Schizosaccharomyces pombe: one gene and its partner. The protein of the gene in region 1 interacts with the protein of each later gene in a pairwise test. Each region holds a gene or a part of one and is shown on either strand. Other genes may lie near its edges.

Evidence for each region.
Region 2: the proteins of pcp1 (region 1) and alp7 interact in binary tests that used the Schizosaccharomyces pombe proteins (3 or more experiments, as listed by UniProt).

The regions. Positions count from the first base shown.
Region 1 is NC_003424.3:3,253,593-3,260,081, forward strand, and holds pcp1 (gamma tubulin complex linker, pericentrin/kendrin Pcp1), read right to left. Parts: upstream 4,689-6,489; 5' UTR 4,574-4,688; coding exon 947-4,573; 3' UTR 809-946; downstream 1-808. Other genes in the region: pcd1 (coenzyme A diphosphatase), read left to right, coding at 1-778; ARP2/3 actin-organizing complex subunit Arc4, read right to left, coding at 4,980-5,156, 5,338-5,461, 5,592-5,794, 5,850-5,852; ubiquitin hydrolase Ubp6, read left to right, coding at 6,109-6,489. UniProt on the Schizosaccharomyces pombe protein: Spindle pole body component that binds calmodulin. Overexpression of pcp1 causes the formation of supernumerary SPB-like structures and disrupts both mitotic spindle assembly and chromosome segregation.
Region 2 is NC_003424.3:5,001,766-5,006,567, forward strand, and holds alp7 (kinetochore-associated protein Alp7), read right to left. Parts: upstream 2,721-4,802; 5' UTR 2,431-2,720; coding exon 1,006-2,430; 3' UTR 635-1,005; downstream 1-634. Other genes in the region: tbc13 (GTPase-activating protein), read right to left, coding at 1-211; serine/threonine protein kinase Ppk16, read left to right, coding at 2,906-2,929, 2,977-3,070, 3,138-3,187, 3,356-4,802. UniProt on the Schizosaccharomyces pombe protein: Required for bipolar spindle formation and proper chromosome segregation. Has an indirect role in connecting the kinetochores and the plus end of pole to chromosome microtubules by targeting alp14 to the spindle pole body.

The DNA of each region.
Region 1 (6,489 bases):
TCTAAAGAATACTTTTTCAAAAAGAAATAGTATTTTAAACAATCAAGTTTGTTTTGAAGCTATTAAATACATCCAAAGGCATTATTTCAGCAGTCAATCGCACCATGTAACCTATCTTCACCAGTCGCCGCTTGAGAAATTGGTGAGTAATGGCGTGGTAAACGAGAACGGAGATTTGACCATGGATTCTCTTTCTCATCAAATATACCTATTACACAAAAATCGCCCCACCTTACCATTAAAACCAACTAACCAGCCTACGAGATTTGCATCTGTTTTGATGCCTCTAGTAAACACTTCTCAAGGAGCTTCTTTACTACTCACGCAACGTTCTCCAAACTTGCGTTCTCATGCTGGACAAATGTGCTTTCCTGGTGGCCGTGTGGAACCTTCAGACGGTTCTCATTATTATGCGGCATTAAGAGAAACTTACGAGGAAATTGGATTCCTCCCTAATTTTTTTACTTACTTGACTACTTTCCCTCCATTATTCACCAGAGATGAAAAGACTGAGATTCGGGCTTACCTTGCGTTTTCGGTGCAAACCTCCCTTCCTTCACTTGGGACAGGTGAAGTGAAAGATTTATTTTACGTTCCTCTCACCTCTTTTTTAAATCCCAAGCACCAAAAGATATCTCGATTTCGTAATACGGATTTGCTTTATGTCGAATTTAACATTGATAAGATTCCAAGAATTTGGGGAATAACAGCGGTTATATTAAATATGTATCTTAATTCTATTTGCCCGGATGCTCTTATCTCAATCCCAAAGTTTTGATTTTACGCTTTAATACCATTACTACATAGACTTAATTAATATTTATTTTTTCTTCTGTTATTAATAGTAATGCTTGATAATAAAGTCAATAAATTAAAATAATTATAGTAGTAGAATTAATTGAATGTTGTTAAAAAAAAAGAGAGTAAAAAACGTAAGTATCCCAGATTAGTAGTTTGCGGTCTTTGCCTTTGCGGCAGCTCTTTGCAATGATTGTTTCAATTGAGCTTGTTTTAGCCACTCATTCTTCATTCGCTTCATTCTTTCAATTGAACAAACAACGATAATTAGACTCTTCAGCTTTATGTGTTTCTTAGATAAATCAGGATCAGGTGAAATTCCAATTTTCTGCAGCATACGTAAATTTATTTTATTGCATGTTTCGTATCCTGTTAGTTGCATTAAAATAAATTTTTTTGAAAAGGCAAGGTCCAAACGAAGAGAGTGCTCTCTTCGACATTTCGATTGAAGATATTTAGTCAACTTAGAGAGTCCCTTTATTTCAGATTCGTATTGCCCTGACTGTGTGGATTGCGGAGTATTTGATTGTAAATTCTTATAGCGTGCACGTAATTGATTATAGTCATCTAACAATGATTTATATTCTTTTCTATTACGTTCCAAAATAGTAGACAGATGATCGATATTGTTAGTCTTAGACTGAAGAGCCTCCCTGAGTGTCTTAAGCATTAATTGGCTTTCGTCGGTAACATTGGAAGTCATCAATTCAGCTTGCTTCATAAAATGATTGTTATAAACCTCTAATTCCTTCTGGATTTCCTTTAGCCTTTCTTCCAGTTCATTTTTATCTTGTACTAAGTTGTTCTGATAATTAAACTGGTTTGATCGATAACTTTCAAGCTCATCGATAAGTATCGAACGTTCTCTTTCTAACCATTTAATCTTTTCCTGCAACTTGGTTGTTTGCTTATTATAGCTGGAAATATCATCCATGAGTAAATTTCGATTTTTTAGTTCATCTTGAAGCGCAAGCTTTAGATCTTCAATCGTTTTCTCAAGGTACTCGATTTTAGAAGTATGTTCAGAAGGATATAAATAGCCATTCTTCCGATCAGGAGAGCTAAAAAACTTTTGGGCAGCGTTTTCCAAGTCATTCATCTTCTCACTAACGTTTCGATTTCGTTGTGCAAGAATATCATGCTTTGTCTCAGTTCCCAATCCAAATTTTTCAAAGCTTCTACTAAGTTCCTGTTCCTTTTTACCAGAAAACTGTACAAAATCATGCCGTAACTCTTGCTTCAACGACCGAATCGTTTGGATTTGTTGATTGACAAAATGTTCAATTTGACTGACTATCTGCAAAATACTCACCGAAGAATAATCACATCCCATCAAAAGGCATAGTCTCTTTTTGACAGCATTTTCTTCTATATTCGCCTCCTCAATTCCCCTATTTAAGTGATGCACAAGTTTATCTAGCTCCATTTTGTCAGATTCTAAATGACGAATTTGAGCAAGCTTGTCGGCCAACTCGCTATTGAGCACATTTATTTCTTTATTTTTCTCAATATCATCATTTGATCCAGATCGTATTTTTCTTTCTTCGAAGAGTTTTTTACTTAATTCGGATAGTTCTTCCTCCCTCCGGTCTAAGAGGTTTTGGGCATTTATTAATTCATTTTTTAGCGAAGAGTATTTTAACTCCAAAGCCTGTTTTTCGTTGCTCATTAATTCAAAACTAGCAGATAGCTTTTGTCCAGCCACTATGGCTTCTTCTCGTTCTTCTTCGCTAACATCTAATTCGTCTTTTACGTCGGTAAGCTGCCGCTGAAGTACTGAAATTTTATCGTTCAGAATTTCCATTAAATTTGTATTATCAAGGTCTTTCGCATTTCCAGATAAATATTTCTTAATGGATTCTCTTTCTTTTTCGAGCATTGCAACTGTCTCTCGTAATGAACTAATGACCAAGTTCTTCTTTTCCAAATTTGAAGTCAACTCTTTCTCTCGATCTTGTAATTTATTAATGGATTCATGAAACCGCCGCAAATCGTTGTCTTTATACTGAAAAGCATTCATCACTTCATTATAAGTTTCTTCTTTATCCTTAAGCTTATTTCTATATTCATCAATAGTACCGTTTAATTCAGAAACGTTGACTTCGTATGACTTGATACGTTGTTCTAACTCATTTATTAAACGGTCTTTCTCTTTGGTAATAGAGTCAATCTTCAAAGTTAAGCCTTCATTTTCCTCCCTAAGATCGTGTATCTCGTTTAAGTCATTAGAATTCTTCATTCTAAGGGTTTCCAGTTCTTTAGTGACTTCTTGCAATCGGATATTCGTTTCTGCAAGTGCTTTATCTGAATTTTTAGAGGCAAGAAGACGTAAATGATTCTTCTCTTCATCTATTTCACGATTTTGCGTACGTAAAGACTCAATTTGGTTACCCAACGAGGAGGTCATCAACCGTAAACTGTTATTGTCATCTTCCAAAGTTTGGAGTTTGGATTCTAGCACGTCTCGTTCTTCTTCCAAGCTTCTAAATTGAAGCATAATATCTTCAAAGTTTTTACCTTCTTCGTTCATTCGACTAATTTGATCATGTAAAAATTCGATTTCTTCGTTCGCTTTGTGTAATTGTTCTTGAAGGGTATGTACTTGCATGGAATCTGTCAAACCAATTGAGGCCTCGGATTCATGCATTATCTGATTTTCTTTCTCTTTTTCGAGATCGGCAGTAAGCACTTGTATTCTATCCGCAAATTCATCACATTTGGCTTGCAAAATCGCATAGTCTTCTTGAAGATGTACGTAGCTTGAATTCTCCTCATTTTCAAAAGCTGAAGAGCTATTCTCCTTTTCCTCAATCTGTCTTTTCAGGGTGGCAATTTCGTCTTCTTTCTCAGTAAGCAAATCTTGAGCAACATCTAGCTCTTCCGATAATTCATCAAGCCGATTTTGTAACTGTCGTATTTCATATTCATAATCAACTTCCTTGTTACTTTTATCCTCTTCCATCTCTGTAGATAAACTGTCTTTTTCCCTTTGAACTTTTTCCAAGGCATTCTCCAAAAAACGAATGCGCTCCGTAAAAACTTTTACATTCTGGGATTGCTCGACATCATTAACCTTAGATAAATAATCGACCTTCTCTTCTAATTTGAAATTCTTGTCTTCAGACTTTTGAAGTAAAGATTCAGTTCTCTTAAGCTGAAGCTGTAAGTTTGCTCGTTCGGCATGCAACTCAACATTGTCTTTGACAGCTTCTTTTATCTGTTCGGGAGCCATAGACTCAAGTCGCTTTTCCAAACATACAATTTTGATTCGAAGTCCAAAGTTTTCTCTGCTAACTTTCTCAAGGACCTTTTCTTGCTCACGAAGAGTAAGGGCGGCATTTGCAGGCAATTCTCCATCTGTGTGATCTATTTCGGAATTTTTCGAGAGATCGGTAAGCTTGGAAACGTCGTAAGAGTCATTTCCCTGACTGATGCTCAAAGCTTCTTGAGTAGCTTGTTTAGATATAGCAGATAACCCGTAGGAATTAGGGTCAAAAGAGCCTTTATCGCCCAAACTCCCGTTGTATTTATCTGAGTTTTTATTTGAAGACTGTAATAATGGAGTAAATTCCAAACTACCTTTTGGTTGATAAGAGCCGTTGCGCAAAGGCGTCTGGAAAGATGATTTATCATTAAGGTACGAACCACGGAAATCAGAATAATCATCGTTATTATTTTTGAGTGATTTCCCCAAAAAATCAGATTGGCTGATCACAGAATTCGCGTTTTCATCTTTAAATTTGGGAGATTGCGTATTAAAATCTCGTTCAGACATAACGTAACTGCGGATGCATGTATTTATTAAAATTATCCACCAACTAGCGCAAGTGCATAAAATTATATAGAAACTACTTATTCTGGCAGAATCATTAAAAAGCAAAAATGTTGTTGATTGTAGTTTGTTTACAGTCGTCAAATGATCAAATAAACTACGAAACAGCTCCCTAATATAAGTAACAACATATCGTATACTTTCGTTATATCTTGTAAGGATGCTAAAAGTCAAAAGGCGAGATTGTAGATATGAAGGATTATCGAATGTAAAACTGCCTTGATATGTTTATTGTACTCAATACAGAATAGAAGAGATAGGAATTTTATTCGGAAGAAGTATTTGGTGCTCATTTATTTATGTATAAATTGATAAAATCATCGATAGGGTCCAAAACGTAAACATGAATCTAAAAACAACTCAGATAAGTTTCAGCAACAAGACGAGCTCTTCCGTTCAAGAAAAGTTTCATCTCACTAATTTCAGCGTCAACTTCCTCCATAAACTCAATAATGAAATCAACTAATTTGTGCTTAAGCATTTCCTCAGTATGGTAATTAGTTATAAGAAAGGAAATATCATAGCCCTATAACAAAGAAAGGTTAGTTTGATGATATTTACAAATAGCAATGGCAACTTCGAAAAAGAAAAAAAAGAAGAACTATACAATGGCTGAGGCAGAACAGTGAACACTTAAACTAACGCAAAATCTCTAGAAATTCTTCCCTTGAACACTTTTTTGCCAATTACAATTTGTAATAACGTACCTGAACAGGTTTGCGGCGCAAAATAAAGAAAGATTCTGCACGACCCATTAAAAACTGCATAAATTTGCGCACAAGAATTCGTTCAATTTCATCGACTTGTTTAATACGAATGCTGAAACGAACACTAATTTCATAAATGCATCAGTAAAAAAAATCCAAATAATGAGAATGACTTTCAAAACTCCGTTATTCCAAATCGAAAGATCAGTGAATGTACCAGTTCGAATCGGAAACATCGGATGCCTAAGACATACCTATTAACAGAGCTCTCAATCAAACACTGTTCTTGCTCATTACGAGAGACCACCAGGGGCTTTAGTAGAATTTCAGGAGACCGTCCAACCTCAACTTCCGGCTGACTCTGGCGTTCTACAATTTCTGATGAGAATTCCTCTAATGCTAAAGAAGCAGTCAGAGTAGAACGAACTGCGTTTAAATAAGGTCTTAAGGTATTAGACTATGCCTTCGTTAATAAATCATATCTTTTTATAACAAAAGAATTCCTCTCTTACCATAATTAGAATCTATGGAGTCAGTCTCCGGGTTTGGTTTTGTGCTAACACGTAGTGTCAGTGTGATATTGCTTAACGAGTTTAGCGGCACAACCACGCACGCTGCGTGGTGTTACCGAAAATGAGTATATAGCTCGTTACTGTATGGCCTTCACCAAGTACCAGCAACATATATAATAAGTATAATTTGCAAAGAATTACAAAAAAAATTATATTGGGCTTAAACAAGTATTTCTTTCATTAATTACAAAAACCATTTATGATGATTCCCATAGCAATTCGTTGGCAAGGGAAGAAGTACGACTTAGAGATTGAACCTAATGAAACAGGAAGCACCTTGAAACATCAACTATACTCGTTGACACAAGTTCCTCCGGAACGACAGAAAGTGATTGTCAAAGGTGGCCAGCTTAAAGACGATGTTTTGCTTGGTTCAGTTGGTATTAAACCAAATGCAACTTTATTAATGATGGGTACTGCAGGCGAACTACCAACAGCTATGCCCATTCCAGCTGTCGAGTCAGTAGAACAAGAGGAATCTGAAGATGATGGCTATCCGTCAGGGCTTATAAACTTAGGCAACACGTGTTACATGAATTCTACAGTTCAAATGCTGCGTGCCATTCCAGAATTATCAGAC
Region 2 (4,802 bases), 1.7 Mb from region 1:
ATGTATAAGTTTTTCGATGTTTTTCTAGAACTGATTGCCAGTTTGATCTATCGGTAGGAAGGAACTCAAGCATCAACATCCAAGCTTTTGCCCTAAGTGAATATTCATCAGGAATTCCTTGAATACAAAGCGAGCATAAACCAGGGAGAGAAATTGGCTCTTCCGAATTTAAAATGTCTTTAAATTTTTCAATGCGTTGCTTATAGTCCATAATAAACTAGAAGCGATTCAAATAAGATATTATGTAGTTTGACTATATCCAATTTAGTTATATTATCATATATAAAATATTACTGTTGAAAATTAAATATATGAAGAAAAGGAGAGCGCAATTGGTGTGTTCAGTAGCCTGTTTCACACGTGGATGATGGAACTAAGTTAGCTACTAAAATTGAATGCAAGTTTAAGAACCGACTAAATTTTCTGACTTATTTTTTATACTAATTTCCTTCTTAACAATACTTCCCTAATCAAATACTGTAGGAAAGTACAGAGTAATGAACGTCCTTAGTAGATGTACAGTATAGGTAAGATTGATGTAGGTGCAACATACAGACCAGGAAAGAAATATTTGGTTTAAACAGCACCTAGAACGAGCAATTAATAATAATTGGATATTTATTAAATAAATGCACCGTTTTCTAATGTATGTATGTGAGAAATTAGCCTTGAGATTGGCTCCAGTTTTGATTCTATCTATAATACAAATAAAAGAAGAAAGAGTGGATATGCAATTTATATTAGGTTGTATATCGAACTGTTATGATGTATAAATATACGAAAATTGGTAGATAATGTATAACCATAAAAGAAGGCTTAATTAATGGAAATCAAAAGAATTCGGGTTGTATTCATGAAACTGGGGTCATCAATATGAAACTAAATTAATCATGAGAATACAGAAGTGGTTTGGATAAAGGAAACGGCATCAATACATTAGCAATACTCTATCAAAAAAAAAAAAAAAATTATGGAGATTGTTTTTATCAAAAATGAAAGCGCAGATCATGATTTTTGCTCCAAATTCAGTTGATCCATTGCAATTACCAAGTCCTCGCTCATTTGTATCAACTGTTGTCGTTCCTCCCTTTCGACCCGGAGCTCTTCTTGAAGCGCTTGCAGTTGTAAACGAAGTGTTTCCAAATCACCTGTCTGTTGTGATTGTTGTTGCATTAGTAACTTATCACTCTTCGCCATATCAGCTTTAAAATTGTTCAAAAAATCTGACATATCTTGGCGCTCTTGAATGGCTTTCTCCAGCTGTTTTTGGAGAGTCTGATTGTCTGCTTTCAATGCTCGCCTTTCTTCCTCCCAGTTACTGTTGGATATTTTTGGAGCATTAGGAGCAGTACCGATTTGATTTTGAAGCTCCTGTATAGTTGCCTCGTATTTTCGAGCATAATTGGCTTTGAAAGCATTAATTTTCTGAGTGTGCTTGGCTGAGTACTGAGCATGTAAATCTTCAGCAACTTTTTCCATGCGTTCTTGAATTAACTTGTCAACTTCCTCTTGAGTATATTTACCTCTCTGAAGAGCTAATGTCTCTTCATTATGCCCTTCAACAAGTCTCATGTTGGTATCCTTTGTGGAGGGACTAGTCGATGCTTTTCCAGATCTAAGTTGCTGAAGTTGGTCATTAACGGCAATCAATTGTCCCGAAACATTGACGATTGTATTTTGGAGTACGGAAATTTCATGATAAGTGCCAGCAAGTTTGGCTTTGTAGCCCTCTATTTCAGCTTCGTATTTCGCTTGCTGCTTTTGAGTGGAATTAATTGGGTATTGAGTAGGTATATCGGCCTGTGAAGTTGATGGTGTAGCAGAGTTGCGAATGTTGTCTTTCAAATGCACTGGTGGGTTCAACGGCGCCGTATTAGTTTGACGTGGGAAGCTTCCGTTTGAAAGCACTGGGGGCCTAGAACTAGCTGATGTTTGCAAAGATGATGAATGACTGTATGCAAAATTAGATGGAGCGGTATTTAAAGAGCCTCGTTGGGAGGCCGCATTGGACGATGAAAATAAAGAAGGATTCTTCGGCGTCAAAATAGATTCTACATTTCTTTTTCTATGCTTAAATTCTGGCGTTTTATGCTGTGACAAAGGATGGGATATGGGATGCATCGGTCTAGGGGTTCCTGAAAAATCAAAAGATTTATTCAACTCTAAGGCTTGTAGTCGATCGCTTACTCGCTTATTAAGAGTATCCTTTAAATTCAGCTGTGGATTGGGTTTAGAAGTTAACTTAGGGAATAATTTAGGGGCAGGCATGGATTCCTCTGAACTTCGTTGAGCTGGAGGAATCAATGATTCTGAAGAGGCACCTTGCCTTTTTTCATGAAAACCCGTATGATCAGTTTCATTTGTCCCAATACTAGATGAGGAGGGAGACCTCCTACTGTAATCTGTAGAGCTCGAAACGATATCACTCATTTTCGGTTATGACTTTTTAAAATCGTCAAACGATATAAAGAACTAACAGATATATGAAATATAAATACACAAGAAAATCCTTTTTCAAATATTTTACAGCTGGTATTATCGTTTCAAAGTTAACGATCAGTAGCTAACTTTTATTTTTACTTTTTGAAAACTGGTCAGATGTCCGCCTACGTAGAACAATGGTTCAATAACAAACTTGAGTCATACAATGCCCAATAAATAACCCCTTATTGCCCTCAATTCTTCGTCTTGATTCAACACTAGGCGTACAATGGTGGTGTAAATAAAAGGCACATACATACTGGTTTACACTGAGTAAGGAGAGAGTGGGAAGAGTTCACCGAGCTCTCGGTGAATTTTCGGTAGCTTGTTCTCCGAAGCCTTTGTAATAACACCAAAGTATCCTACTGTAAACACTAAACAATTTGCAAGTCAACCTTTGATATTATGTGTGCCAAATTTTAGTATGAAGAAAAATGAAAAGGCAAACGTATGTATATGAAAAGAGGGAAATCGTGATTATCTAATGAATGGCAGATATCGGCCTCATACAATGACCTAATTGCAACAATTTGCAATCCTCGTATCTCTGATGTCGGTACATATCGCATTGAGAGTGTTGTCGGTGAAGGTACGATACTTTTGTGTTATTGTGAACGCTCAATACTGGACGGCTATCTAACAAGCATGGGTTGTAGGCAGCTTTGGAAAAGTTTATTTGGCAGCTCATTTACTGACAAATACAAAGGTATGGGTTATTCAAAGATTACTATGTCTCTAAGTTATAAAAAGAAGAATAAACGGCTCGTAAATTGCGAATATTGACCGTTCCAAAGTCGGTTGATTACATTATGAGAATGATAAACGTTTTATTCATCAATAAATTGATTGTACCTTGCTAACATTTTTATTAAAGGTTGTCCTGAAATCATCTTGCAGGAAACAAGCGATTATCCTTGCTCGAGAAATTCATCATCATCGGCGTCTTCTTCATCCAAACATCACGAGGCTTTATGAAGTAGTATGCACCGAAGACCGAATTTATCTTGCCATGGAGTATTGTCCAAATGGTGAATTGTATGACTGGGTAGCGAGAGAAAAAAGGCTGGATGAAAAGACCACTTGCCGTATCATGTGGCAGCTATGCTGTGCTATTCAGTATTTACATAGACAAGGCTGTGTTCACCGTGACCTTAAACTCGAAAATATTTTTCTAGATAAAGCCTACAATGTTAAGCTTGGAGACTTTGGGTTTTCTAGAGATTCTGATTGTTCCCGTAGAACATTTATGAACACACGTTGTGGTACAGTTGCTTATTGTGCTCCGGAGCTAGTACAGGGCCATAAATATATTGGTGAATGCGTTGATATATGGTCTCTGGGTATAATTATGTACGCTCTCTTAATAGGAAGGCTCCCGTTCGACGAGGACGATGTATCTTTAACTGAGCAAAAAATTATCAATGAATGTCCTCAATATCCTGAAACACTCTCCAAAAACTCTTCAAGCTTGTTGAAATCCCTCCTTTGCAAGGATTACCGACTTCGACCCTCTATCGATCAAATCATCTCTCACCCCTATTTCAAGGAAAATGGATATCATTCATCTTCTATTCGAGACCCAAGGCCTTCCTCGAAAGCAGAGGAAAAAGTTCGTAAAAGGCTTGAATTTGTTGGTGTTGACATGGATCAACTTAATGCCAGCATCTCACAACAGCGCTGTGACATGTTCTATGGATGGTGGCTTTTATTACTAGAAAAAGAAATGCGTAAGGAAAACAAAAAAAAGAAAGGTTTGTTTCATTTACATAAAGGTTCATCTTCGGCTGTACACATAGCTCCAGCAACTCCATCATTAAAAACCGCTCAAGTTTCTGTTATGTCCAACAATCAGGATTCTTTAAAAAGTCGGCATACATCGTCAGATTCAAGTAATTCTTTGCTTTCTACATTTCGTAGTTGGTTATTCGATCCTAAACAAAAGCATACTGCTGATACGTTAAGCTCATCAGCAATTAGACCAAGAACACCTAGTCCTTCGGCTGAAAACTATTTAACTCAAGAAAATTTTGATTCCGATAATTTATCTGAGTCTTTAGACAATTCAGTTGAGAACCTTACCGTGTTTCCTTCGATTAACAGTTTTGGAAGAAGACACTCAAATCTTCCTCAAACAACGCACGTTGATACAGGTGAGCAAAACACACCATTCACTCCTCCTCTTTTAAAAACGGTAAACCTCGACGGTAATAAAGACTTTACCTTCCCCTCGAACTCTCAAAATAGCCCTTCTAAAAGTTCGAACCTCTCAATTAATATTGATATTCCACCTTCTCCTCTGCAAAATACTGTCATATCTCCCC